Linked DNA regions of Canis lupus familiaris. The protein of the gene in region 2 binds, or shares a complex with, the protein of the main gene of each other region. Links are inferred from orthologs where the notes say so. Each region holds a gene or a part of one and is shown on either strand. Other genes may lie near its edges. The genes, in order: USP39, PRPF4, LSM5, LSM6, PRPF3, PRPF6 and PPIH.

Region 1 (3,500 bases), on a different chromosome or scaffold from region 2:
TATGTAATACTCCAAATCCTTTGTGGTCATTTCCACAATCCTCACAGCATCTTCACCAGTAGATTCCACCTCAAGAAACCACTTTCTTCACTCATCCGTAAGAAACAACTCCTCATTCACTAAAGTTTTATCATGAGATTGCAGCAATGCAAATATAATAAAAAACCTGAAGTACTGCAAGAATTCTCAAAATGTGAGAGTCAAGAAGCGAGCAAATGCTATTGGAAAATTGGTGTTGAAAGACTTCCTCCGGATGCTTGGGTGGCTCAGCAGCTGAGTGTCTGTCTGCCTTCGGCCCAGGGCATGATCCCGGAGTTCCTTGATCGAGTCCCGCATCAGGCTCCCTGCATGGACCCTGCTTCTCCCTCTGCCTGTGTCTCTGCCTCTCTCTCTGGGTCTCTCATGAACAAATAAAATCTTTAAAAAAAAAAGACTTCCTCAACACAGGGTTGCCACAAACCTTCAATTTGTAAAAAGAACAACCTCTGAGAGGTATAATAAAGCAAAGTGCAATAAAATGAAGTATCCCAGTAATGATTTCATAATATACCTTTTTCTTAATTTTTTCTTTATTTTAGAGGAAGGGAGGGAGGGAGGAAGGGAGGGAGGGAGGGTATGTGAGAGCACATGAGCAGGGGGAGGGACAGAGGAAGAGAGAATCTCAAGCACACTCAGCGCTGAGGAGGGAGCCGAAGGCAGGACTCAATTTCACAACCCTGAGATCATGATCTAAGCCAAAATCAAGAATCAGATGCTCAAACAATTGAACCACCCAGATGCCTCTTTCAAAATTTGCTTTTAAACCAGTCCATAATGGACTACTAGAGAAAGGGAAGAATGAAGACTTCACTTTAAACTTTCTATATCTTCTACCCCCAAAAAGATATTTGTTTTTTTAATTAATTTTGGTCAATTAAGCAAAATTATTAATTTTCTTGTGTTTATCAACATTTTCTAACCATCCTACAATGCATAATATTACTCAGTTTTTTTAAAAAAAACTTTTTTTGAAGAATTTATTTATTTATTTGACAGAGAATGGGAGAGCACAAGCAGCGGGAGTGGCAGGCAGAGGGAAAGGGAGAAACAGGCTCCTCACTGAGCAGGGAGACAGATGCAGGGCTCCATTCCAGGACCCAGGGATCATGACCTGAGCCAAAGGCAGATGTTTAACTTACTGAGCCACCCAGGCGCCTCTACATAAACAAACCTTAATTGCAAATAAGACAACTCTGGTTTTCTGCATTCCTCAGTTCAAGCCGTAAGCTTAAGAGCAGGATCAAGACATCAGACAACTAGCACAGGAACATCTGCACTATTTCACACACACACACACACACCCCATCTTGCACATATGTTTCTTATTTGGTACTCCCAAGCCATACACACATTCTATCCTTCATTCCTTGAAAACTCCAGAGGCCACTGACTCCAGAGGCTAGAAGAGGCCTCACCATCTGGCAGCAGCCCTTTGAGCTGACACAGAAATGTTCTGTTTGATATAGAACACTCAAGTACAGGGGCGCCTCAGTGGCTCAGCTGGTTAAGCGTGGGCCTTCAGCTAAGGTCATGATCCCAGAGACCTGGGATCCAGTTCTGGTGTTAGGCTCCCTGCTCAGCCGAAAGTCTCCTTCTCCCTCTGCCCCTCCCTTCTCCCACTCATTCTTTCCCTCTCTCTCTCTAATAAATAAATAAAATCTTAAAAAAAAAAAATAGTCAAGTACAGTCCTCAGCAAGACTTGATGTCTTCAAGAACCAATGATCATAACAGAAAGGAGTCATTTCTTGGCTAAACTTCATGGTATTCCCAGGTTACCTCTCTCCCTCCCCCACTGTTCCCATCCTGATCCTACCTGAAGGACAGCGTTGGCGTAGTCGTTGGCCTTTATGTTATTCAGGCCCACAATACCTGGCAGGTAAGTAGTACCATCATATGCCCGGGAGAGTTTGGCTTGCTTGTCCAAGTTTGCAATCTGCTGCTTTGTGAAAGTGGGCTTCAACACATACTGCAAAGCAAAAGAAAATTCCAAGCTGTTGCAGGACTGCTACAGAGTTCACAAGATATATCTGAAATAGCAATTTCTGCCAGAAACAGGAAACACTTTGGTTGTGAATGCCTCACCACACACCCAAAGGGCTCCCAACAATAGGTATAAAGGCTGAGGTAATATGGAACAGGCCCTCTCCACATTATTAATGTAGAAAGGGATCTCTGTGTTTAACCCAAAATCACTGAATCCTAGGTCTTTCCTCAAGCCCCAGGTCTGGCCAACTCCATGATAAATTAAATGACTGTCAGAAGCTGGAGGACACTCAAGTTTCTGCAAGCAGCAGGAGGCAGAATCTCACATGGGACTTCACACAGAGCCAGTATAGGCCCAGCACAGAAGCAGTAATGCAAACCTGAGATCTCATGAATTCTCTGTGGTTAGAGGGGCAGGAACAGAACCTTCCCCAGTCCCAGAGTTACAAGGGTCATTATGTAAAGGGCTGAACAGAGGTCTTCTACTAATTCATTTTAAAACCTTGCATTTATTTGTTTCTCTTTCTCCAAGTATTAGAACTACTTTAACCTCAATTGTTAATAGGCCTATAAAACTTATAAAAGCAGCATAAATAATGTTTCAAAACTCTGAACACCAAGCTTTCCTTAAAAATGAACAGAGCAGTCAACATGTGTATGTAGACACTTGCTTAAAAGGAAAATTATAATCAACAGTTTCAACATTAATCAAACCCAAGAAGACTTTCCATGCTCTCCACTTAAGTACAGTGACTCTTGGATGGCTCCATCCAGTGACCTGGATGGCTCAGTGGCTGAGGGTCTGCCTTTGGCCCAGGTTGTGATCCCAGGGTCCTGGGATTGAATCCTGTATCAGGCTCCCCGCAGGGAACCTGCTTCTCCCTCTGCCTAGGTGTCTGGCCCTGTCTCTGTGTCTCTCATGAGTAAGTAAATCTTAAAAATCTTTAAAAAGGAAAAAAAAAAAAAATACAGGGACTCTTGGCACAGATCACACACCAGAGCCCACATATGGGATACACTGGCCATTCTGGCCGCATCATATCAAAAGTAGCCAGGAGCTGGTATGCAGCTTGATATCCACTGTCCTACACCAGGCCCAATTCACATCCCTATTCCAAAGTATAAAAGCTTAATATAGTTCACAAAGTAGCCATATTTCTTTAGTCCTAAAGTTAGAAAGTAGCCATATTTCTTTAGTCCTAATTCTCAACATTAAATGCAGAAATAACAGCTAGGCTACAGATCAGACCACATTTATGAATCCTGATCTTCTTACTAGAGTCTCCCTGGTTCCTCCCAAAGAAAAAGAAGCCTCTCCAAGCCCAAGGGATTGAGATTCTTCCGTAACCTCAGGTGGGGCAGATCCCCAGGAGCCCTGGGATGGCTCCCAAGAGAACTAGTTCCAAATCAACCCTCATGGACACATACTGTGATATCCTCCAGGGAAGAATCGATGATCTCATAGTTGTCTGGAAGG
Region 2 (3,500 bases):
GTGACACACAGACTTCCTTTTTGCTTTCTAAAAATTTCATTGCCATCTTGACACAACAGCCCAGCTTCGGGGTAACACAAAGGATGCCAAACCTCAAAGCAAAAAGGAAGACCTTTTCTGACAGGGCAAATGTTCAGTTCTGAGCTTCCCGATGCAGTCAGCATTCCAAGCAAACTCAACAGGAAGAGGTAAAATCTTCTTTACTGCAAACCCTGAGCATAGCTGTGGTCTACTTCTTCATCTCCCGTTCTCAAGGTAGAGGAAAGGTTCTGTCAAGGCATTGGTTAACCAGTGTGTAGGGAGAAATGCCTCTTTCCAAGAGGGCTCCCAGACTAGCTCCCAGTTCAGCTGCCTTGCTCTGTGGGTCACATGGAGTCCTGAAGCATGTACCATGTAATGGAAAGCCACGTTTCAAAATTAAAAATGTAGCCAGTCACAATCCTGAGTGCTGTGAAGGAGGCAACAGGGCATTCAAACAAAAGATTAATAAAAAACAATGTCTACACAGTCCGTGGCAAGGCTTGAAGATGAGAATTAGAATTTCAACTATGAAAGGAGTTCGTCAACACCCAGAGACTGGGCTCTCTATCTGGAGTGGAGGCTGACCTGGAAATCCAATTCTTTTGAGGGTCTATACATGGTAATTGGCAAAAAACATGATGAACTAAACAGGTCAATTCCTTTCTTTTAAAAATGGCCCTTAAGAAAGAGCTTGAGCTTAGAGTCCTTCTTCCCTGGTCCTGCCTATTCAGCCATCCAGAGCTTGAAGGTCCTGTCGTATGAGCAAGTGGCTATGAGCTGCCCATCAGAAGAGATGTCTAGGCCCATCACTTTGCCTTCATGGCCAGCCAGAGTCTTCAGTGGGGACCAGCCTGGGTGGGTCCAGATCTTGGCTGTGTTATCATAAGCACCAGTGAGCAGAAAATTCCCATGGATAGCTTTAAGAGAAAAGAAGGAGGAGCTGCTTGAGGAATTCAAGTATCAAAAGAGCAAAGAAAACAAAAGCACAAAAATCTGCTACAATATATGATTTCAAAAAAGAAGGTATTTCCCCATTTGGAAAAGCCCAATCTTCTCATCTACATTCCCACAAGGCCTCCAGGAGAAAAGGACTATAGGCAGACTTAGGGAAAAAAACAACAATATTAAGGGCTTGTGCCTCTTCCCCTGACCATCTGTTTAGAATAAATTAAGAATGCAGTGCTTACAACTTTCAGGGAAAAAAAGGACTCAAAGCATTATAGAAGTCTTCTTCACTTCCTAAAGCAAGCATGCTATGCCATAGCTTTGTCTGAAAATATGGTAGAGGAAAGGAACTTAGAATTTGCTCCTTTTTCAACAAAGGCCAAATTCTCTCCTGTTCCACTTCTAAGTTAAGCTAAAGCTTGGCATGCATTCCGCGGAAGTGCAATCTGTCTGTCCTGTGATTAGGCAAAATAGGAGGAAAGCTTACGCTCAAACTTGACACCAGTCACTAAGTTCTGATGGGCAGGGATGGTATAGACACAACGCCGTTGTCGAAGGTCCCACACTTTGCAGGTGTTGTCACCACTGCCAGTTGCAATGTGGTAGCTGTGGATCAGATGTAGTATCAAAGTTAGAAACAAAGACACATTCTGACCAATAACCCTTCCCGTTCCTCATGAGATTAGTTGATCTTACCCATTGGGGGAGAAATTTATTCCATAGATTTCTTTCAGGTGACCTTCTAGGAACATGATACACCGTCCTGTGCGCAAGTCCCAAACACGACCAAATGCATCCAGTCCCCTGACAAAATAATTTATAAGCAAACATTTTGAATCCATTTCTCCATGGAAGCAGGCACACGTAACAGGTGAACTATTGATCTGCCCCTGGCTATGTGGAAGAAGGCTTACCCAGTGCCAGCCAAAGACCCATCTTGATGGAAGGCAATGTCATACACACCCATGCTGTGGCCTTCCTGATGCAGGATCTCCTCTTGAGCCTCCAAATCCCATAAGCGCCACGAGCGGTCATAGCTACAATAAAAATCAAACTAATAATTAACTAGCAGATATTCAGTTCCTACAATGTGTGAAGTACTATAAATGCTTATAGCTTAAATTATGCTTCTGAAACTATTCATATAATCATATTAAGAAGAAATCCTTTTCTGGCATAAAAAATACTTCAACAACTAGTCATTATCTGTCTTGAGTGCTACCTGGGAAACCATGGACTTCCATAAATTTACTTCAGGGGCGATTTTAAGAATACCCAGAATGGCCCAGCAGAGACTGTAGCCTCCCTTCTTTTTCAATTCTACTGTTAACTCTTTTCATTCACTGAGTATTTGTTGGGCCTTAAATTGGATGTTGGGGATACAAAAATCAGTCATAAACAAATACATCTATGCAACAAATGAGAGAGGATAGAAAGAGACCCACACATTTTTGGTCAAATGATTTTGATGAGGCTACTAGAGCAATTTCAACAGGGAAAATAAAATCTCTTCAATAAATGGTGGTAGAGGGGCACTGGCTGGCTAAGTTGGTGAAGCATGCAACTCATCATAGGGTTGTCAGTTCAAGCTCCACGTGGGTGTAGACATTACTTAAATAAATAAAATTTAGATTCTGGGACACCTAGGTGGCTCAGTGGTTAAGCATCTGCCTTTGGCTCAGGTTGTGATCCCAGGGTCCTGGGATTGAGTCCTACATCAAGCTCCTTGCAGGGCGCCTGCTTCTCCCTCTGCCCATGTCTCTTTGCCTCTCTCTGTGTTTCTCATGAATAAATAAATAAAATCTTAATAAACTTAGGTTTTATTTTTTTAAGAAAGAGTGTGAGTGGTAAGCGAGAGAATTTTTTTAAAGATTTATTTTAGAGAGAGAACACAAGTGGGAGGGGCAGAGGGAAATGAAAGGAGAAACACAAGCAGACTCCACGCTGAGCCTGATGCAGGGCTCGATCCCAAAACCGCTGAGATCATGACCTGAGCCAAAACCAATAGTTGGACGCTAAATGACTGTGCTGCCCAGGAACCCTGGGAGAGAATTAAAAAAAAAAAAAAATTATTTATTTATTCATGAGAGAGAGAGAGAGAGAGAGAGAGAGAGAGAGAGGCAGAGATACAGGCAGAGGGAGAGGCAGGCACCATACAGGGAGCCTGATGTGGGACTCGATCCCAGGACTCCAGGACCACGTCCTGGGCTGAAGGCAGGCACTAGACTGCTGAGCCACCGAGGGATCCCCTGCGGGGAGAGAATCTTAAGCAGACTCTGTGCTGAGCATGAAGCCCAGTAGGGGGCTTGATCTCACAACTCTGAGATCAGGACCTGAGCTTCAATCAAGAGTCAGATGCTCAATTGACTGATCCACCCAGGCGCCCATTAAATAAATAAAACTTAAAACACCAAAACCCCCCCACAAAAAAACCCCACCTCAAATAAACGAAAAAATAATAATAGAACTGTTTGTGAAAATAAAAAAAACTCAATTAAAAAATATAGGTAAAGCACCTGGAGACTGCACAAAAG
Region 3 (3,992 bases), on a different chromosome or scaffold from region 2:
AGAAGGAAAAAGAGCTTATTAATACCACCACCACACCCATCATCTAAAAACCCCTTTTCACCCATCAAAGATACCTGGCCTCTTTGCTCCTCCCCCACATTCCCATTTTCTCCAGGTCATTGCTTCTGTTTATAATCCCAACATCGTCAATTAATACTTAGAGTCTAAACAATGATTCTTGGCAAACCAAAAGATTAAAAAGCCCAAGCAAACTAATCTTTAAGCCTATTGTCATGTTCAGTAGCTCAGCTTTAGAGCCCTGATCACAGGAGCATCTCATTCCCAACTTAAACCCACTGGGCCATGAACATTTATTTAACCAAGCCAAGTAATCTGTAATCTCTGCCTCACAAAAATGGGCTACATCTAAAAAAACGCCCAGCTTTACTGTACCTTACCATTGTTATATTATTTCCATTTAGCAAAATTTGATCTAATTTAGTGATCCTTCTTCCTTCTGGTGTGATTTCACTAAATGAAGAAATAAAAGAGTCAAGATAAACAATGATAATCAAAGCCAACATTCTGATCCCTAAAAAAGTTATTCTTATATTATATGAATATGAGGTTGAGCAATTATGTCAGTAGTTTTCAGAGACAAAGGTTATCCACTGGATGACCAAAGGCAACACAGTGAACTGACTGGCCTCAGATCCACATCCACTAGGATCAAAACTAAAAGAAGCTAAAACTGGCCAAAGAGATCAAATATGAAATGGAATGTTTACTAGCCTCACCTTTTTACTATTATTTACTACTAATCCCTTACCCATTAAACCAATCTGTAATCAACTCAATTTTGAAAGCAGACACTGGTTGTGATCTTTAAAACTAATATAATGGAGCTATCATTTATATCTTAAGTTTAATGCCTTGATTTGTCTGAGCACAAACATCCTTGGCTGTTTTTAGTATCTTTTATCTCAAAGCTCAGTCTCCACTAAGTCCCTACCAGTCATTAATAATAACATAATAATTACATCCGGTAATAACTGATCCAATTTTACCAGTGTCAGTAGATAAAATTTCTATCTTTAAGGTATTTCTGACAGGCAATGTTTTCTCATTAATCATTTTAAACTCATTAATACTAAAATTGACTTAAGGAGAGATTCCCCCCAATTCTTTAATTTTTAACACTACTCACAACTCAGTGACATCCTCCAGTACCATATCTGAAATTTGGTGTTAAGAAAAATACATATACCAGGTTGAATTTACTCTGGCTTCTATCTTTACTCCATTTTAATTACAACGTTTAATACAATGGCTCCAGAGCAAAATACTAGTAATCGGTAGGAACTTTATCTTTTTTCAGTACACACACCTCTTAAAACGCTATCAAGAGGTGAATAAATTTCTAATACAATAACCAGTTACGTACTGACTGTCCATATTCTTATTTCTGTTCTTAAGTACTGCAGGAAAACCCATACCACCACCACCTTTTGAAAGGATACTGACAAAGTCATCAAATCCCAAAAGTGTGCCAACAATTTCTTTATCACTCTTCATCACAATGTGAATTCTTGATCCTATACATTTGTCCACGAGCTCTATATATATATATATATATTTTTTTTTTTTAAAGAAAAAAAAAGAGGGGTGGGGGGGTGGAGAAAAAAAGATTATTTTACCTGTTCATTTCTTCAACAAATATTGGAATGCCTACTGGCACTTGTTAGTTACTTACTGTGAAAGATAAACCAGAGAAAGTATTCATTCAAAAACTTTAGAGATTTTACGGTACGTTATCTCTGTTGCATAAACAAAAACGTCCTGTTTACCACTTACCTCTCCTTTGTTGAAGTTTATCCATCACGGTTGTGGTTTAATGTTATTTTAAGTGATTTTGATTAACATACGAAATGCATAATTAATATATAATTAACATCTGAGCCCCCCCCACCCCCTGCAGCCCAGGTGGTTCAGCGGTTTAGCGCCTGCCTGCAGCCCAGGGCGTGATCCTGGGGTCCTAGGATCGAGTCCTGCATCGGGCTCCCTGCATGGAGGCTGCTTCTCCACCTCTCTGGGTGTCTCTCATGAATGAATAAAAATGTTTGTTTGATGTTTTTTTTTAAGAGTCTAAGCCCCATGAAACAACTGTGGTTGTTTTCCCAGGACTCTATCCTCAGTGGGCAATGTCTGGCACATAGCAAGCGTTCAAAAAGAGTTGGTGGAATCAAAGAATGAAAACTTCCAAAACAAGGCCACTTCCGATAACTCCATCAACTCTTTGGCTACAAAATATCGGAAGAGGCACAACCGTATCCACCAGAGATTTCTTCCTGTCACTATCTCTGTGTTCGGACCGCAGTTTGAACGCCTCGTTAGCTGGCTTCGTTATCACTCGGCGTGATGCTTACAGGTGGAGCGCTCTATCTCCTCCTGGTGTGTGTGCTATCCGCAGGCAGTGGGAGGCGTCTGAATTTGTCCAAGAGCGCCCAGCCCTCGTGCCTAGTGCAGAGAGGCTCCCGGGCGGCCCGGGGCCGCAGACACTCGGGAGCCGGCAGACGAGCCGCGGAGCACTGAGGCCCTTCATCCCCACATTTCCCTAACACTCGACCAAGGGCTACTTCAGCCGCAGCCGCCCGGGCCCCAACACTTAGCCTGAGCCCTCCGGTCCCCTTCTCCGCGATTACCTAGAGGCAGCAGCTGCGACGGGTTAGTGGTAGCGTTGGCCGCCATGGCTACGCCGGAAGTGGCCCGCCGGCCTCGCCGTCAGCCCGGCAAGTTTGAAAGAGCGCGCTTCCGCTCCCCCCGCCGGCCCGCGGCCCGGACAGGCTCGACCAATCGGAGGCCGAACTTGCGATCCAATCAGTCCGCAGGAGTCGCTCCTTCCCAATCGCTTCTTTCCCGGGCGCTGAGCTCTCGGGGAGAAGGTTCCGTCCGCTGCAGGTGGTGCGGTCTGGGCACGTAGCGGCTTTCCCCGGGCAGTTTCCGACAGACAGACGCTAAAGGGATCCTGCTTTGTGAATAAATCCTTCCTGCAACCCGGAAGGTTTTGCAAAATACGGAAATCTTTGAATCGTCTTATTTTCTGCTATGAAGTTGCACCTCATCTCAAGCCAGGATCTTTTTTCAGACCGAACCAAAAATTTTTTTTTTTTTTTTTTTTTTTGCCACTAATGCACTGTGTTGCAGTTTTTGTAAAAGCCGTTTTTCAAAGCATCTACTCCTAGAGCGCCCATGTGCCTCAGTGGGTTAAGCCTCAGACTAGATCTCAGCTCAGGTCTTGATCTCAGGATCCGCTGGTTGGGCTCCACGTTGGGTGCGGAGCCTATTTAAAGAAGAGAGAAAAAAGAATCTAGTGCTTCTTTTTAAAGTCCAGTGAATTGAAAACCCACAACCAGCATTTAAAAAGAAAAAAAACCTTCTACAGTGGAAATTTAAAACACATTTTATTTTTATGCCTACTACCTTATCATTCTTACCTTGTTGTAGCTAGGAGTCCAATTTATCACAGACTGTATCCACTTTCAACACTTAACTGTCTTGTCTTATAAGCAGCCACCAGATGTCACTGTCCGCTAATGTCATCACACAGGAAACCTTAAGGCTTTTTGTTTTTTTTTTGTTTTGTTTTGTTTTTTTAAATTTTTATTTATTTATGACAGTCACAGAGAGAGAGAGAGAAGCAGAGACACAGGCAGAGGGAGAAGCAGGCTCCATGCACCGGGAGCCCGACGTGGGATTCGATCCCGGGTATCCAGGATCACGCCCTGGGCCAAAGGCAGGCGCCAAACCGCTGCGCCACCCAGGGATCCCAGGCTTTTTGCACTTCTGTTTTGCAAAGAATAGAAAGCAAACAAATTCTCTGCCTTAAGTCTGTTTCATATTTGTATCCCAGGAACGTAAGGCTGACGAGTCTAAACAGGAGAGAGCAGAAAAAAACATCATTCATTCATACAACAGATAGTTGTAATACACACATCATTCATTCATGGAACAAATATGCATTAGCTACACACTATTTGGCATTTTGCTGAGTA
Region 4 (4,123 bases), on a different chromosome or scaffold from region 2:
TAATTGTAGTTTATCAATGGTGCCTGCTGCACTGGTCCAGCGGGGCCCTCAGAGATCCATGCCTCTTGGAAGAGGTAGCAACTATGCCTGCAGATGAACCATGCCCTTAAAACTTCTCATTGCCTCCTGCCTACCACACCCGTCTTAATGACTCCACCAGGGCTCTATAGCAATGAGAAAAAGGCTATGAATCAAAAAATTATTTTTTATGAATCACTGAAACAACCACTGAGGAATATAGTACAATTTGAGGTCTTTTGTGAGGAAGGCTTTTTAGGGACAGGGTTTTCTTTATATCTGATTATGTTTGTTCTTTGCAGCTAATTATTTTATTTAAATGATACTTAATTTTTTTCACATTATATCTTATACCGCAAGAGCTTCAAATAAAGCCTTTTCAAGAAATCTGTAATGCTTGGTTTTTACCCAAAGTGAGCTTTTATGGAAGGATATAAGGAAATCTCTTTTCACCACCAAATCACACCCAGTTGTTCTCTGGCCGTCATATCAATCAAAGATTCTTTCTTCAGCTAAGACAGGTTTACGAGAGGGGAAACTCATGTAGATCTTAGGGAAAAAACCCTGCATCTTAGATCTGTAACACTTAAGAGTTAAGAATCTGTCCAAAGATATTATTTCTTTGTTTAGAGTGTTGCAAATCACAAGCAGAATTAAAGTATAGGTTTTAAGTTGAGGGTATGTGTGTGAGGAGAAAAAGGAATCAAGTGTTGGTATAACACTTTACTTCTTTTTCTTCGCCCTTTCCACTAATAGCAAGAATATTGAGAATCCATGCAGAATTCCAAACCAAGTTCCCATAGCAGCACTTAAATAATGTCTGCATACCATTTCCAATTAGAACTAGATTGTAATGTAACGCAAGTCATACCATTATAATACGGAGCTACTTTAGGGATTTTAATTCTTTTTGTGGCAATTACGTTGCCATGGAAACAATCTCTTGCTAATAATGACTTCATCGCACGATCAAAATCCAAAGTGGATTTAAAGATTTGAGGATGCCTGCTTTATTTATTTGCATTAACTTTTTCAAGGACCTTTCCGAGCCTGTATAGTCATGACCCTAGTAGTCAATTCCAGTTTAGTAGGACTTCAAGCTATTTCTTGCATCTCTGCCTAAAGGAAATCCTGCCTAAAAGATCACTTCCAGGCTTTGTTTTGTTTTAAGTATTTTAAGGGGTGTTTGCTTTCTGCTAAGAGGTAGCAGCAGCGGCTCTTTCTCCTCTGACCGCCAAAGCCCCAACTTTGCCTTCGGGCCAAACGAGACTCCCGGCTCGGCGCGCGCCGCCGAAGCGCGGCCTTCTTGGGCCCCGCAGGCTGCCGTAGCCCGGAAGGGCGCTCCCCGGCGGCCGCAGAGGCGCGCCGCCCGCTCCGGCAGTTTCACTTTCGGTTTCGCCCGGGCTTCGGCGGAGGCCGCAGCTGCGCGCCACCTGGAGCGGGGGTTTGGGTCCCGGCCGCCAGGTGAGCCGGGCGGCCGCGCGGGCGGCGGGGGCCCCGGTGTTCGCTGGCCCGGGGTGGGTGCGGGGAGCGGCAGCCGGGAGGCGGGCCGCGCGGACCCCAGGGGCCCGGCCCAGAGCCCCCCGGAGGGGCGATGGACCCCGCGGGCGCCCGCCGCAGCCTCCCCGCGCCGCCGACTCGCCTTCCGGGACCGGGACCGGGGCTGCTGGCGGGGTCCTCGCCGGCGGGTGGGCGGGAGAGCGGGCCGCGGGGCCCCGTGGGCCGCGCCGGGTTCCGAGGGCTCCGGGGCCGCCGCGGCCACCTTACCGGGGCCTGGGGCCTCGGGCCGCGGGCGCCCGCAGGGTACGGCGTCGAGTCCTGGCGCCGGGGCTGCCGCGGATGAGCGCGCGCGGCCGGAGCAGGGGATGGGGCCTTAGGGTGCCCCCCCCCCCCCCCAATGCCGCAGAGACACAGGCTGTGGAGATCCTGGACTCAGAAGCGCTTAGCGAAGGAAGCCCTATTCACTGAACCCCTTCCATCTTTACTCTTGCACGTGCCACTTCCTGTTTGAGCTACGACTACCTGTGCCCTCCGTTAACAGTACAGAGAGTTGTCCGCTTTCATTGAAAAGTGCCTCTTAAATGTTATTTCTGGTTTTGCGCCTTTTGGTGGGCTACCTGTTCTGTCCTTGTGTAGGTCCCGTAAATTATTCAGCCATTTCCCGACTGTGAGGCATTTAGGGTGTTTGCGAATTTTTGTTTCATCCTAGCATCCCAGGTAGTACTTTGATAAACGTTATTTTTAAAACTGCATTTCGGATGATTCACTTGGATTGATTCTGAGCAAGGACATTTTTACAATAGGTGCTGTGCCCCAGTAAGGTCTCTTCAGATCTACATACCCCTTGCCAAATTGTTTTCCAGGAGAGTTTTAGCAGTTTGCATTTCATGTAAGGTTGTGCCTGTTTTCACCAAAAGTATGATAGCTCATAATATGTATTTCTAACACGTCACCCTCACTTTTTTTTTTTTTTTTTTTTTTTTTATGGTGGTGTTTCATAATGCCAATTGCTTGAATTTTGTGCAGGAGTCTAGAGAATTATCTTGGGTTTGTGTGTGTGTGTGTGTGTGTGTGTGTGTGTAAAAGTATTACTGGAGTTCCTGCATAGGCTGACAATGTTAGAGCAGGATGATCTCTTAAGTGGTCATCCAGCATAACTCCCTTATTTTGCAGATGAGGAACCTGGGGCCTTGAGAGGTGAAATGATGAGTTCTCCAAGGTATACAGCTACATTAAGTAGCAGAACTGGGATTAGAATTCAGGTTTCCCATCTCCCAAGTGAGTACTCCTTATGCTGCATTGGGTGGTCTCTCACTAAACTGTGGCATACTTGTATGAGCATTTTTAAAAATCTTGGCATCACTTGAATTATTTTGTCCTGTTAGAAATAACAGAGATTTTAGTCATCTGAGGGAAGTGTAACACTTGGGAAATTGACCATTTTCAGGACTGGGACTAAGAAATCCATTACTTAAAATGGCAACCCTTCAAGATTTTTTTTTTTAAAGATTTTATTTATTCATTCATGAGAGAGAGAGAGAGGCAGAGGGAGAAGCAGGCTCCATGCAGGGAGCCTGATGCGGGACTCGATCCCAGGACTCCAGGATCACGCCCTGGACCAAAGGCAGGCGCCAAACCGCTGAGCCACCCAAGGATTTCCCCCCCTTCAAGATTTCTTGACAGTTGTTTTTAGATTCCCTTTATGTCAGGATAAAGTATCTAAAAAGTTAGAATTTAAAAAAAAATTAAAAGTTAGAATTTGTACTCGATCATCTGATTAGAATTGAGCTGTTTGTTCTCATTTGTTATACCTTGAAAGTTTTTTAAAACTCCTTGTTGCTTGAATACTAGAGAACAATGGTTTTTTGATAAAGGGTTTATAACAGAGTTTTTCAACCTCAGTTGACATTTTGGGCCGGATAATCCTTTGCTGTGGAGCACTGTCCTGTGCTTTTTAGAATGTTAAGCAACATCCTTGGCCTCTATGTCCTAGCACCACCCTCCTCATTCAAGACAGTCCAGAATGTCTCCAGATGTCCGCATTTGCTTACAGGAATCATTTGGGAAGCTTTATAAAATGTCAGTTACGGTGTCCCCTTGCCTGGGGAGTCTGACTAGGAGTAGTAGACTTCAGGAATCTGCATTTTAACAAGCATCTCTGTTGACTCGGATGCAGCTGGTTCTTGTACAACACAGAAACATTTCTATTTTCTTTGTCTTTTATTTGGTGGTCAGTAGCAGAGATATGACTGTGGTATAGCCATTTAAGTGCACAGATGATGCAGTGCTAGTCACTATACCCATAGTTTGCGGGTAGGGGTGAAAGGGACAGGGATTTTCCTTGGCACTGTCCTCAAATGTCTCCCACAGGATTGATTGGCCGGTGAGCTTAGGTTCCTTTTCCCCTGTCTCTGAGAAGCTTAGAACCTACTGTGGGAGACTGATCAACAGGAAAACTGCAGAACAGCCTGCTAAATGGGAAGGGGTGCTCTCTGAGTGCTGGATTCATGGCTGGAGTGAGAGAGGGGAGGAAAGTGGCCCTCTCCTGGATGGGGAGGAGGAATTGGTATGAATCCTTCAGAAGAGGGCTAGGTACCCCCTCTGT
Region 5 (3,500 bases), on a different chromosome or scaffold from region 2:
TAAGAGGATGTGAAGCAACAGTTTGATCAGAGTGGGATAAGATTATTAATGAGGAAAACTTCCTGGAGGAGGTGAGTTTTAGGCAGGATTTGGAACAGGGATATGAAAAGTTGAGGGAAAATCATTACAACTGTAGGTAGTAGCGTTTCTAAAGACTTTGAGATGGGAACATTTATAAGGACATGGAGATGAAATTTGCTTGACTGGAGTAGGAGAATGATGAAGTTGGGTGAGATGGTCCATTTGGTGGAGGGTCTAGAGGCCTCTGGGAAAAGCCACAAAATGCTGATAGGGACTAGGATGATTCTTCCTTTGTCCCGTGGGCAGGGAGACAACTCTTATTTTGTCTTGGGTTTCCTTAGGAAGTGTTTGGTGATGACTCTGAGATCTCCAAGGAATCATCAGGAGTAAAGAAGCGACGGATACCCCGTTTTGAGGAGGTGGAAGAGGAACCTGAAGTGATCCCTGGGCCTCCCTCAGAGAGTCCTGGCATGCTGACTAAGCTCCAGGTGAGTAATTAGGAACTGAAAGCAGTGATTTTATGAGTTGAAGAAGCAAGAGATGCATGGGTCCAGATTCATTGTGACCTTAATTTGAATTAGTGTTTAGCATCGGGAACTTTTATTTCCTGTTTTATGTTTTGTCATTTCTCAGTTTAACGAGGAGTATTCCAATGAAGACTATTGAAATTGCATTTACTCAGGCACCTGGGTGGCTCAGTGGTTGAGCATCTGCCTTTAGTTCAGGTTGTGATCCTAGGGTCCTGGGATCAAGCCTGCATCGGGCTCCCCACAGGGAACCTGCTTCTCCCTCTGCTTATGTCTCTGCTTCTCTCTATGTGTCATGAGTAAATCTTTTTTAAAAATTGCATTTACTGGGATCCCTGGGTGGCGCAGCGGTTTGGCGCCTGCCTTTGGCCCGGGGCGCGATCCTGGAGACCCGGGATCGAATCCCATGTCGGGCTCCCTGTGCGTGGAGCCTGCTTCTCCCTCTGCCTCTGTCTCTGCCTCTCTCTCTCTCTCTCTGTATGACTATCATAAATAAAAAAAAAAAAAAATTGCATTTACTGAGTACCTATTATGTGGCAAACAAGGTGTATTACACATATCATTTAGCCAGTTGTGTACCTCATTGGATCATTGAGAAAATTGTTGAAGTAGGGACGCCTGGGTGGCTCTGCGGTTTGGCGCCTGCTTTTGGCCCAGGGTTTGATCCTGGAGACCCGGGATCGAGTCCCACATTGGGCTCCCTGCATGGGGCTTGCTTCTCCCTCTGCCTGTGTCTCTGCCTCTCTCTTTGTGTCTCTCATGAATAAATAAATAAAAATCTTTAAAAAGAAAAAAAATTGTTGAAGTAATCAGAACTCAGCTTGATGGCAGAGGAGAATTTCTAAATACAATGCAGAGACAGTATAACCCACTAAAATAATTTTTTTATTAATAATTTTTTAAAAGGATTTATTTATTTATTTATTTTATGATAGAGGCAGAGATACAGGAGGAGGGAGAAGCAGGCTCCGTGCTGGGAGCCCAATGCGGTACTCGATCCCAGGATTCCAGGATCGCACCCTGGGCCAAAGGCAGGCGCCACACTGCTGAACCACTCAGGGATCCCCCACTAAAATAATTTTAAGTTGACTTAAAATTGTTGTTTTTTTAAATATGTGATTGAGAGACACAGAGAGAGAGGCAGAGACACGGGCAGAGGGAGAAACAGACTCCATGCAGGGAGCCTGATGTGGGACCCAACCACAGGACTCCAGGATCATGCCCTGGGCTGAAGGCGGGTACTAAAGTGCTGAGCCACCCAGGGATCCTCCAAGATGTGACTTATTTAGAGAGCATGCACAAGTGAGAGAGGAAGGCAGAGGGAGAGAGAGAGAATCCCAAGCAGACTTTGCTGAGGTCAGTGCAGGGCTCCATCCCAGGACCCTGAGATCATGCCCTGAGCCAAAACCAAGAGTCAGACGCTCTACCAATTCAGCTACCCAGGTGCCCCGACTTTGTGTTTTTGTTTTTAATAGGAATTTTCTATATTTTTAGAATGGACTTTCTTGGGGTGCCTGGGTGGTGCAGTTGGTTAAGTATCTGTCTTCAAAAAAAAAAAAAAGTATCTGTCTTTGGTTCAGGTCATGATCTCCGGGTCCTGGGAGCAAGCCCTGCATGGGGGTCCCTGCTCAGCAGAGAGCCTGCTTCTCCCTCTCTCTCTGCCTATCCCCCCTACTTGTGCTCTCTGTGATACTCTCTCAAATAAATAAATAAAATTCTTAAAAAAAGAGAGATTAAAGTAAATTTTTAAAAAATATTTATTTAGTCATGAGACATACAGAGAGAGAGACAGGCAGAGACACAGGCAGAGGGAGAACCAGGCTCCATGCAGGGAGCCCGATGTGGGACTCGATCCCAGGTCTCCAGGATCACGCTCTGGGCCGAAGACGGTGCTAAACCACTGGGCCCCTGGGGCTGCCCTAAATTAATTAATTTTTAAAAATGGGCTCTCTTAAAACAATTTTGATACTAGCGCACCTGAGCAGCTCAGTCAGTGGAGCATACAACTCTTGATCTTGGGGTTGTGAGTTCAAGCCAGTTGTGTGTAGCGATTACTTAAAAAAATTAAAAAAAAATAATAATAATAATAAATAAATAAATATATAGAATAAAAAAAGGAACAAACAGGTTTGATACCATATAAACAGTAAATACTTCTTCAACCATTTAAGATTTCCTGGAAGGGAAATAGAATATATACATATGCATATCGGTGGGTGAATGGTGAATGAATTTTTTTTTTTTTTTTTTTTTAAGGTGAGGGAGGCAAAGGGAGAGAGAGAGAATCTTAATTAGGTTCCATGCCCATTGCATCTCCTGTCACCCAGCACGTTGCTTGTCTCTGGGCTCAGTCTCCTGGCCCTGAGATCATGACCTGAACTGAAATTTAGAGTTGGACTCTTGGGGCACCTGGGTGACTCAGTTGCTTTAGCCTCTGCCTGCAAATCAGGTCATGATCTCAGGGTCCTGAGATCAAGCCCCACATCAGGCTCTCTGCTAGGCAGGGAGCTTGTTCTACCTCATCCTCTGCTTGTTGCTCTGCCTGCTTGTGCGTGCACGCCCACTATAAATGAATGAATGAATGAATAACTTAAAAAAAGAGAGAGACTCCTAACTAATTGAGCCACCCAGGCATCCCTAAATTTGCTTATTTGTATCTGTAGATGATAGTTCTGCAAGGAAAGAAACTGATAACTGGTGCTTTATGGAGAATAGAGGTGGAAGAAATAATAATATACCCTACTGTACTTTTTTGCATTTTGAACTACTCAAAAGAAATATTAAGAAAGTAAATTTTACAGGGGTTCCTGACTGGCTCATTGAAAAAAGCATGTGACTCTTAATCTTGAGGTCGTGAGTTTGAGCCCCAAGTTGGATGTAGAGATGACTTAAATAAATTTTGAAAATAATTTAAAGTAAATTTTAAAAAATAGAGGGGCGTCTGGGTAATTC
Region 6 (3,500 bases), on a different chromosome or scaffold from region 2:
GGGCTGGGGTCCGGCAGGGTGCAGGTGCCACCGGCAGGGTCAGGGTCAGGGCCGGGGTCCGGGGGTGCGCGGGGCGGTGGAGCCCGCTCAGGACGGTGCCTGCATCGCGGGCCGCCCGGGAGCCTGAGCGCCGAGGCCTGGAGCCCGTCCCCCGGGGCACAGGGGCCAGGACACCTCGGAAGGGAAGCGTCCCCGCCTAGGCCCGGTCCTGGGTCCCCAGGGAGGGCACAGGCCGGTGTCCTCGGAAAAGCGTCGGAAACCAGTAAAGACGCGCCAGGCTCAGGCCGAGGCCCCGCCCCCCCGCCAGGCCCCCGCGCGCATGCGCCTGTCACCTTCTCCCCCGCCGCTGCCGCCCCCGCACGCAGCCGGAAGTCGCTCTTCGGGAACTTCCGCCCGGGGAAGGCGGGGTGGGCGGGGCTTCGGCGGCCCCGGGGCTCTGCTTCCGGGGCGCGGGTGACGCGGAGCCCGCGAGCTCTTCCGGTGCGGCGGCCGGGGTCGTCTAAGGCCTGTCGCCTCCCGCCTCCCGCCTCCCGCCTCCCGCCGCGGCTTCCGCGCCGTCGCTCCCGGGGCCCTGGTCGTCACCGGCGCCATGAACAAGAAGAAGAAGCCGTTCTTGGGCATGCCCGCGCCGCTCGGCTACGTGCCGGGGCTGGGCCGGGGGTGAGGCTGGGGGGCCTCTCGGGGCGGCGGGCGGGCGGGGGCTGGGCCTGGGCCGGGGAGCAGCCGAGCGGCGCGGGCCTTGGGCCGTCCCGGGGCGTCGTCCGCGAGGGTCTGCGAGCGGGTCCGCCTGCCCTGCCCTGCGCCGGGTGCCCCGCGGCATCGCCGTCCCGGCCGGTCGTCGGTTGAGGCCGGTATCGGGCTTCCCTGCGGGGGCGGGGGGGGGGGCACCAGCCTCCGAGCACCTGCAGCGTATCAGGTGCAGAGGGAACAGGTGTCGGAGCCCGGGGCGTGCTCGGCGGAGCGGTGGCACCTGAGCCCCGCTTGGGAGCAGAGCGGGCCCGGGACGCGGGAATGTGGCTGGGGCTAAGGGACAAGCGGGCTTGATGTGTGCTGGGTGGTCAAGAAAAAAGGGCAGGCGTGGAGGAAGATGAGGGAGTCTCGGGGAGTCTGTGCGAGCCGAGTGCAGGTGAGTGGGGTGATGCCGCAGGTCGGGGGGCAGAGCCCGAGGAGCCACCGACCCCACCACGCCCGTGTGGCGGCCCAGGAAGGCTAGAGGCCCGGCGGCCAGCGGGGTCCCAGCTGCCGGGGAAGCTCAGGTTTGGGGAGGAGGGTTTCGGAGGTAGACTGGGTAGAACCTGGTGACTGACGGGGCGGAGAAGGCGGGTGAGGGAGGCAAAGCTGATGCCCTGGTGTGGGCCTCGGCACTTGGGATGGCGCTGCAGTCATCAGCGGCAGCAGCCCAGGGCAGCGGCAGGATGAGCACAGAGGGCATCCCGAGGGGCTGGTTGGGGGAGATGATCAGCGGGTTGTGAGAAGCAGGAGGCTGGATACTCGGGAGGTCGGAGCTCTGATGCTCTGATGAATCTCTCCAGGAGGATGTGGGTGGTGGGTGGGGCTCCGCAGAGTAGGTCCAAAGGGGTCTCCCACGGAGAGAACAGACTAGTAACGTTTGAGAGTGCAGCATCCCTAGCGCGTTGCTGCCTGGATCCTCGGGGGTTTTCTCCCCAGACACGTTAGAAGAGCAGCTGTCATGGAGGACTGTGGAGGAAAGAACAAAGGGACGGGGTCACCCAGATAAACGATGTCCCCGGGTCTCTTGCAGTGCCACTGGCTTTACCACCCGGTCAGATATTGGGCCCGCCCGCGATGCAAATGACCCTGTGGATGACCGCCATGCACCCCCAGGCAAGAGGACCGTCGGGGACCAGATGAAGAAAAGCCAGGCCGCGGACGACGATGACGAGGATCTGAACGACACCAACTATGATGAGGTGACACGTGTGCACTCCCGGCCGGTCTCCAGAAGGGTTGACCAGCTTCTGAGCCCACTGCGCTCTTGGCATCTGATGCCCGCTCGGGGCAGGAGCAGGGGTGGGGGCTGGCATGACTAGTATTTCAGCCTCTAGTATTTCAGCCTCCTACGGGGTATCTTTAGCAGAGTGTGAGAGGGGAGCAGGAAAAGTAGAAAGAGATGTGCACTTTTGAGAGATGTACTTGCATTGTGGTGGTGTCTTGGCTGGTCCCTAATGATGAAGATTCTAAGTGGAATTGAGGATGATACTTGATTTATTACGTTTCAGTGCATGCTCTCTTACTTGATTAGTATTTGGTCTGTTGAAATTTTCTGCAGATGTGTTCTAACAGATGGCATTTTTGTTCAGAGGGAAAGATTGTTAAAATTTCAATTTTGAAATGATTTTAAGCTTCCAGGAACTTTGCAAAAATAGTACGGACAATTTCTGCATACCCTTCACAAGCTTCTCTCTATATTACATGACCTCAGTACAGTTACTATTTTTATTTTTTAAAGATTTTACTTACTTATTCATGAGAGACACAGAGAGAGTGAGAGGCAGAGACACAGGCAGAGGGAGAAGCAGGCTCCATGCAGAGAGCCTGATGTGGGACTCGATCCCGGGACTCCAGGATCACGTCCTGGGCCGAAGGCAGGCGCTAAACCACTGAGCCACCCAGGGATCCCTTCAATATAGTTATTGAAACCAGGAAACTAACATTGACACAGCACTGCTAACTGATTTATAGGTCTTATTAAATTAACACCGATTTTTCAGTGGTGTCCTATTTCTGATCGAGGACCCTGCATTGCATTCTTTGTGTCTCTCGTCTTCTTATTGGGGTAACTTCTCCATCTTTCATGCCCACGAAACCTCTTTTTTTTTTTTAAGATTTTATTTATTTTTTAAGATTTATTGAGAGCATACAAGCATGCACATACACACACACACACACACAAACACAGGGTGGGGAAGGGGCAGAGGGAGAGAGAATCTCAAGCAGACTCCCCACCGAGCATGAGGCCTGATGCGGGGGGTCGATCTCATGACCCTGAGATCATAACCTGAGCCGAAATCAAGAGTCATTTGCTCAACCGGCTGAGCCATCCAGGCACCTCCTCCCCATGACACATCTGAAAAGAACTGTTTAGTTATTTTGTTTTCCCTGATTTGGGGATTGTCTGATTGAAAAAAAATTGTTCAGCAAACATAACTAGATGTGTTCTCTGTTTCCACTTATGGGAATTGCTGACCTTCTCTGTTTTGTGCTTAGTTTAATGGCTATGCTGGGAGCCTCTTCTCAAGTGGGCCCTATGAAAAGGATGATGAGGAAGCAGATGCTATTTATGCAGCTCTTGATAAAAGGATGGATGAAAGAAGAAAGGAAAGAAGGTAAGATAAAGTATTGCCCTTCATATCTAATTATCCAACTTTAATTTTATTTAATTATTTTTTTAAAAGATTTTACTTTTTTTTTAATTTTTTTTTTTTAATTTTTATTTATTTATGATAGTCACAGAGAGAGAAAGAGAGAGGCAGAGACAT
Region 7 (4,127 bases), on a different chromosome or scaffold from region 2:
TAACCTTTCCTAGACAGGAAGGAAGTCTTTAAAAATTCCTCAAAGTTTAACTAAATAAATATACATAAGAAGGAGAAAGACATCTCCCAAGACTCAAGAAAATAGCAACATGACTAACCAAATGATATTAATAAGACCACAGACATGCACACAAGTGGTTGGTTAAGAACAAAAGTAGATTTAAGAAGAGATATGGTTTATTCAGCACCTTCCAGAGTCAGAGGAGGGCGAAGAGGCTTGGTATGAGAGACACATACAGTCTAGTCACAAGAAAGTCCATTAATCGCAGCGAAGAGCCATTCTACTGGGCCCCGCTAGTAAATAGAGGAAACATCCTTCCAGAATGATCTACCTCTGTTGCTCTGATTCTTTGCCCACTAAATCGGTTTCTGATGAAAAACTCAGCTTTCCAGGCATGTGCAAATAGGACATAAGCATTTAGCTCACTGAAAGAGAACTTACTGCCATTTAGAAAACAAAACAATTGCATCTGATTTCTACCCAAGTTTCATGTGACTGACTAGTTTGCATCTCTCATGGATCATCTATAGGCATGCTGGGAAAGTTAGCTTCTGGCCCTAAAAGGCTGATTTGGAAGTCAGTGACTCAATCAGGGTGCTGATGTCTGTCACCTAATGGTATAAAGAGTGGAAGCCAGCAACTCTAAAGGACATTCCTGTCACCCCTCTTCCTCATCAAACTTGGTTATTGTTTCAAGCCTCAGGACTGGACTCCGTAGCAAAAAAAATAGCAGCAACAGCAGTAATAAAAACCAATATTCCTACAGGTCTTTATTAGCAAAGAAATAATACTTACATTAACAAAATCCCCACCCTGGATCATGAAATCTTTTATGACCCTGAAACAGAGAATAAAGCATCCTGAGAGAAGGTTCTGTCATTTAGAAAAACATTGACGTACTCATTATACTTTAGATTAACACTGATTTAAAAATAAAACGTTTTTTAAACTTTGGTGTTTTGTTTTTTTTTTAAAGACTTTATTTATTTATTCATGAGACAGAGGGAGAGAGGTGGGGGGGCAGAGACACAGGCAGAGGGAGAAGCAGGCTCCATGCAGGGAGCCTGAGGTGGGACTCGATCCGGGGTCTCCAGGGTCACGCCCTGGGCTGAAGGCGGCGCTAAACCGCTGAGCCACGCGGGCTGCCTCCTTTTTAAAGAATGTTCTGCTCTAAAAAAAAAAAAAAAAATGTTCTGCTCTTACTGGCTTTAGCTAATCAGAATCCATCCCTGGGGGTCTGGGGATGGGGGGAGAGGATGCTGAGAACACTGTTAATTGTAACCTTGCACCTACTGTTAATACCTTGGCATTTCTGCTGAATTCAGTTGGCAAAGTTCTGGTGCTAAACCGCTGAGCCACCCAGGGATCCCTTGGTTTTTAATAAGCCTTCAAATCTATTGTTGAGTTCACAAAAAACATTCCTTCTCAAGATCTAGGAATTATCCTATGGTTTTAGTTCCCTTTAAAGAAATGAATCTTACTTTCTAAAGAAAGTAAGAAATTACAGGGCAGCCCGGGTGGCTCAGTGGTTTCGTGCCTGCCTTCGGCCCAGGGTGTGATCCTGGAGACCCCGGATCAAGTCCCGCGTCCGGCTCTCTGCATGGAGCCTGCTTCTCCCTCTGCCTGTGTCTCTCATGAATAAATAAATAAAATCTTAAAAAAAAAAAAAAGTAAGAAATTACTTTTTTAGAAAGTAATTCTAAAATCCTGCAGGATGGTTTGCCAAGCCTTACCTGTGGAAGGTGCTCCCTTTGTATCCTATCGGAACCCCATCTTTTCTATAACCAAAAAGAAAGAGACTTGGAATGACGACAAGTAATGACAGGTCTTCCCAGCTTCCCACACACTCGAGCCAAGAGACTCTCTAAAGGTGGTGGGGAGGAGAGAGATAAAGGAGGCAAATGAACTGAAGACAGACCCTTGGGGTATTAACCTTCTACTACCGGCACCAGCAATCATTCAAGGCCTACGGGCGTGGTTCCCCAAAACCCCACTGCGGCCCCGGGGCACCCTTCAGGAGCGAGCAGACGAGTCAACCACGTCTGAGAGACTGACCTGAATTCTCCAGTGCAGAACTGCCTGAAAGGGAAAAGAGGGGATGCTTCAGTCTCGGTGACCCCACAGCGGGGGGCGCTCCTGGCGCAGAGGGGCGGGGAGGGGAGCGCGGCCTGAGCCCCCCGCGGGCCCGCCGGCCTCGACACCCAGAATTACGATGAACTGAGATGGGAAGGGTAAAAACGGGGACAATTCGGAGCTCCGATCTCAAGGGCGGGGAGCGGGCCGCCACGCAGGCCCGGTCCGGCTCCCGGTTCCGATGAGCATCCCCTTACCTAAAATTCTCGGCCGTCTTCGGCACAACGTCTGCAAAGAGCTCGATCTTCATGCGGCCGACCTCCTGCAGGCGGCGGGACACGGTCAGAAGGCCTCAGCGAGCAGGGATCCGGGGGGGCGGCCCGGTCCCCCCCGCCCCCCGGCGGGGCGCTGGGATGCGCGAGACGACTCCTCTCCCTCCCGAGCCCCCCGCCCCGCAGGTCGGTAGGTCCCGGTCCAGCTTCGCCTTCTGGCTTCCCGAGTCCGCTATCCCCGGGTGCGGGAGACCCTCCCGGCCGGGCCTGGAACCTCACCTGGCCGCCGATGCTGACATCAAAGAACACCACGGGATTGACGGGGCTTGAATTTGCCACCGCCATGGCTCCGACCCGGAAGCAGTAGCCGCAGGCACCGGTTCCGGCGAACCCGAGCCCCGATTTCCGGGGCTTCTACTCGCCGGCGCAGGCGCAGGCAGAGCCACCCGAGGCCAGGCCCCGCCCCCCGGAAGTCCCGCCCCGCTGCGGAGCGCTCCCGGCCTCCGGCGCCGAAACTGGGCGTCGCGGAAGTGGGCGGGGCCAAGGCCTCCGAGCCGACGTACACGGCGCGTCTTTCCCCCTCCGCTCAGTGTGCGCCGCGGCGGCGCGGGAGGCGGTGGGTCTTAGGTGCTGGACCCTGAGCGCTCGGGTTAAGCCGGAACCGGAGTTCTGGTTCTGCTCGCGAGCTGCCCCTCTTGTCACCTACAGTTCATTCCTGCTGGAGCTTTTTGTTTTTTTCCCCCTTTTAAAGATTTTCTTATTTAATCACGAGAAAGAGAGAGGCAGAGACACAGGCAGAGGGAGAAGCAGGCTCCATGCAGGGAGCCCCACGTGGGACTCGACCCCGGGTCTCCAGGGTCACACCCTGGACCGAAGGCAGGTGCTCAACCGCTGAGCCACCTGCCCCCAGCTAGAGCTTTTAAAATGAACCTGTTTATAGATCATTCCTGGCCTCCCATCCTTAGCTCTAGTGCCTACTATTGAGTAGCCCATAGTGAGGATCCAATAAATAGATTCAATGAATTGAGTGAAAAAAGGTGACCTTGGGCAAGGCTTAGAGTCACAGCCTGTATCTGATATCATAGCTATTGTGTCCTATATCCTTTGATCATCCTTTTTGGCCAGTTGTCTGCGGAAGCAGGGGTTACATGTAAAAACTCAATGTCTCAACTTAATGGTGTCTTTTTTATTTTTAGTTACTTTTCCTTTCCCCTTGGTATCCTTCTCTATCTCCAACTGAAGAGGGAGAAGAAAGAGTCCGAGGAGAGTAGGAGGGAGAGGAGCAGGATGGGAAGAAAGAACAGCAGGAGTCACCCTTCAGTATAGTTTATACCAACTATTCTAAAATAATTTTTTTTTAATTGGTAATATCCAATGTTGATGAGGTTGTGGAAAAACCAGTGCTAGTGAAAATCAGTGATGATGCCTAGCATTTGTTAAGCAGCTACTAAGTTCTAAATACACATTTCATTTACTTTGGTCCTCACAACTCTATGGGACAGGAATGACTACTGTTCCCATTTATGGATCAAGAAATTGAGGCTTAGAGAGGTTGACCATAGGGGCACCAGTGGCTCAGTCGATTAAACATCTGACTGCATCTCAACTCAGGTCTTGATCTTAGGGTGGTGTGTTCAAGCCCCACATTGGGCTCCATGCTGGGTGTGGAGCCTACTTAATAAAAAGAAAAGACAAGAAAAAAAGTCTGACTATAGAAACATTATGTTGACACAAGTTTTTCTTTTTCTTTTTTTTTTAAAG

The links.
Region 1: PRPF4 (region 2) and USP39 share a complex: the UniProt entries of both Homo sapiens proteins name them as parts of the U4/U6-U5 tri-snRNP complex. The link is inferred for Canis lupus familiaris from reciprocal best matches to the Homo sapiens genes PRPF4 and USP39.
Region 3: PRPF4 (region 2) and LSM5 share a complex: the UniProt entries of both Homo sapiens proteins name them as parts of the precatalytic spliceosome. The link is inferred for Canis lupus familiaris from reciprocal best matches to the Homo sapiens genes PRPF4 and LSM5.
Region 4: PRPF4 (region 2) and LSM6 share a complex: the UniProt entries of both Homo sapiens proteins name them as parts of the precatalytic spliceosome. The link is inferred for Canis lupus familiaris from reciprocal best matches to the Homo sapiens genes PRPF4 and LSM6.
Region 5: PRPF4 (region 2) and PRPF3 share a complex: the UniProt entries of both Homo sapiens proteins name them as parts of the precatalytic spliceosome. The link is inferred for Canis lupus familiaris from reciprocal best matches to the Homo sapiens genes PRPF4 and PRPF3.
Region 6: PRPF4 (region 2) and PRPF6 share a complex: the UniProt entries of both Homo sapiens proteins name them as parts of the U4/U6-U5 tri-snRNP complex. The link is inferred for Canis lupus familiaris from reciprocal best matches to the Homo sapiens genes PRPF4 and PRPF6.
Region 7: the proteins of PRPF4 (region 2) and PPIH are in contact, whole or in part, in a crystal structure (PDB 1MZW), measured with the Homo sapiens proteins. The link is inferred for Canis lupus familiaris from reciprocal best matches to the Homo sapiens genes PRPF4 and PPIH. Residues at the interface, in NP_004688.2 of Homo sapiens: Arg113, Gly116, Glu117, Pro118, Ile119, Thr120, Leu121, Phe122, Gly123, Glu124; in NP_006338.1 of Homo sapiens: Phe14, Arg26, Phe46, Cys47, Thr48, Gly49, Pro57, Ile58, Gly59, Tyr60, Lys61, Gln173, Cys174, Gly175, Glu176, Met177.

What each region holds. Positions count from the first base shown.
Region 1 is NC_049238.1:39,808,387-39,811,886, forward strand, and holds part of USP39 (U4/U6.U5 tri-snRNP-associated protein 2), read right to left. Parts: coding exon 3,452-3,500; intron 2,105-3,451; exon of another isoform or gene 2,007-2,104; coding exon 1,854-2,006; intron 1-1,853.
Region 2 is NC_049232.1:68,065,220-68,068,719, reverse strand, and holds part of PRPF4 (U4/U6 small nuclear ribonucleoprotein Prp4), read right to left. Parts: intron 2,004-3,500; coding exon 1,881-2,003; intron 1,771-1,880; coding exon 1,663-1,770; intron 1,573-1,662; coding exon 1,454-1,572; intron 939-1,453; coding exon 745-938; 3' UTR 1-744. UniProt on the Homo sapiens protein: Plays a role in pre-mRNA splicing as component of the U4/U6-U5 tri-snRNP complex that is involved in spliceosome assembly, and as component of the precatalytic spliceosome (spliceosome B complex).
Region 3 is NC_049235.1:44,955,705-44,959,696, forward strand, and holds the start of LSM5 (U6 snRNA-associated Sm-like protein LSm5), read right to left. Parts: upstream 2,801-3,992; 5' UTR 2,689-2,800; coding exon 2,643-2,688; intron 1,557-2,642; coding exon 1,461-1,556; intron 1,176-1,460; coding exon 1,148-1,175; intron 472-1,147; coding exon 399-471; intron 1-398. UniProt on the Homo sapiens protein: Plays a role in pre-mRNA splicing as component of the U4/U6-U5 tri-snRNP complex that is involved in spliceosome assembly, and as component of the precatalytic spliceosome (spliceosome B complex).
Region 4 is NC_049236.1:44,949,823-44,953,945, forward strand, and holds the start of LSM6 (U6 snRNA-associated Sm-like protein LSm6), read left to right. Parts: upstream 1-1,323; 5' UTR 1,324-1,482; intron 1,483-2,691; exon of another isoform or gene 2,692-2,796; intron 2,797-4,123. UniProt on the Homo sapiens protein: Plays a role in pre-mRNA splicing as component of the U4/U6-U5 tri-snRNP complex that is involved in spliceosome assembly, and as component of the precatalytic spliceosome (spliceosome B complex).
Region 5 is NC_049238.1:60,216,107-60,219,606, forward strand, and holds part of PRPF3 (U4/U6 small nuclear ribonucleoprotein Prp3), read left to right. Parts: intron 1-362; coding exon 363-509; intron 510-3,500. UniProt on the Homo sapiens protein: Plays a role in pre-mRNA splicing as component of the U4/U6-U5 tri-snRNP complex that is involved in spliceosome assembly, and as component of the precatalytic spliceosome (spliceosome B complex).
Region 6 is NC_049245.1:48,289,014-48,292,513, forward strand, and holds part of PRPF6 (pre-mRNA-processing factor 6), read left to right. Parts: intron 1-482; exon of another isoform or gene 483-589; coding exon of another isoform or gene 590-660; intron 661-1,762; coding exon 1,763-1,931; intron 1,932-3,228; coding exon 3,229-3,347; intron 3,348-3,500. UniProt on the Homo sapiens protein: Involved in pre-mRNA splicing as component of the U4/U6-U5 tri-snRNP complex, one of the building blocks of the spliceosome.
Region 7 is NC_049236.1:754,211-758,337, forward strand, and holds the start of PPIH (peptidyl-prolyl cis-trans isomerase H), read right to left. Parts: upstream 2,801-4,127; 5' UTR 2,712-2,800; coding exon 2,646-2,711; intron 2,417-2,645; coding exon 2,352-2,416; intron 2,101-2,351; coding exon 2,077-2,100; intron 1,800-2,076; coding exon 1,755-1,799; intron 860-1,754; coding exon 817-859; intron 1-816. UniProt on the Homo sapiens protein: PPIase that catalyzes the cis-trans isomerization of proline imidic peptide bonds in oligopeptides and may therefore assist protein folding. Participates in pre-mRNA splicing.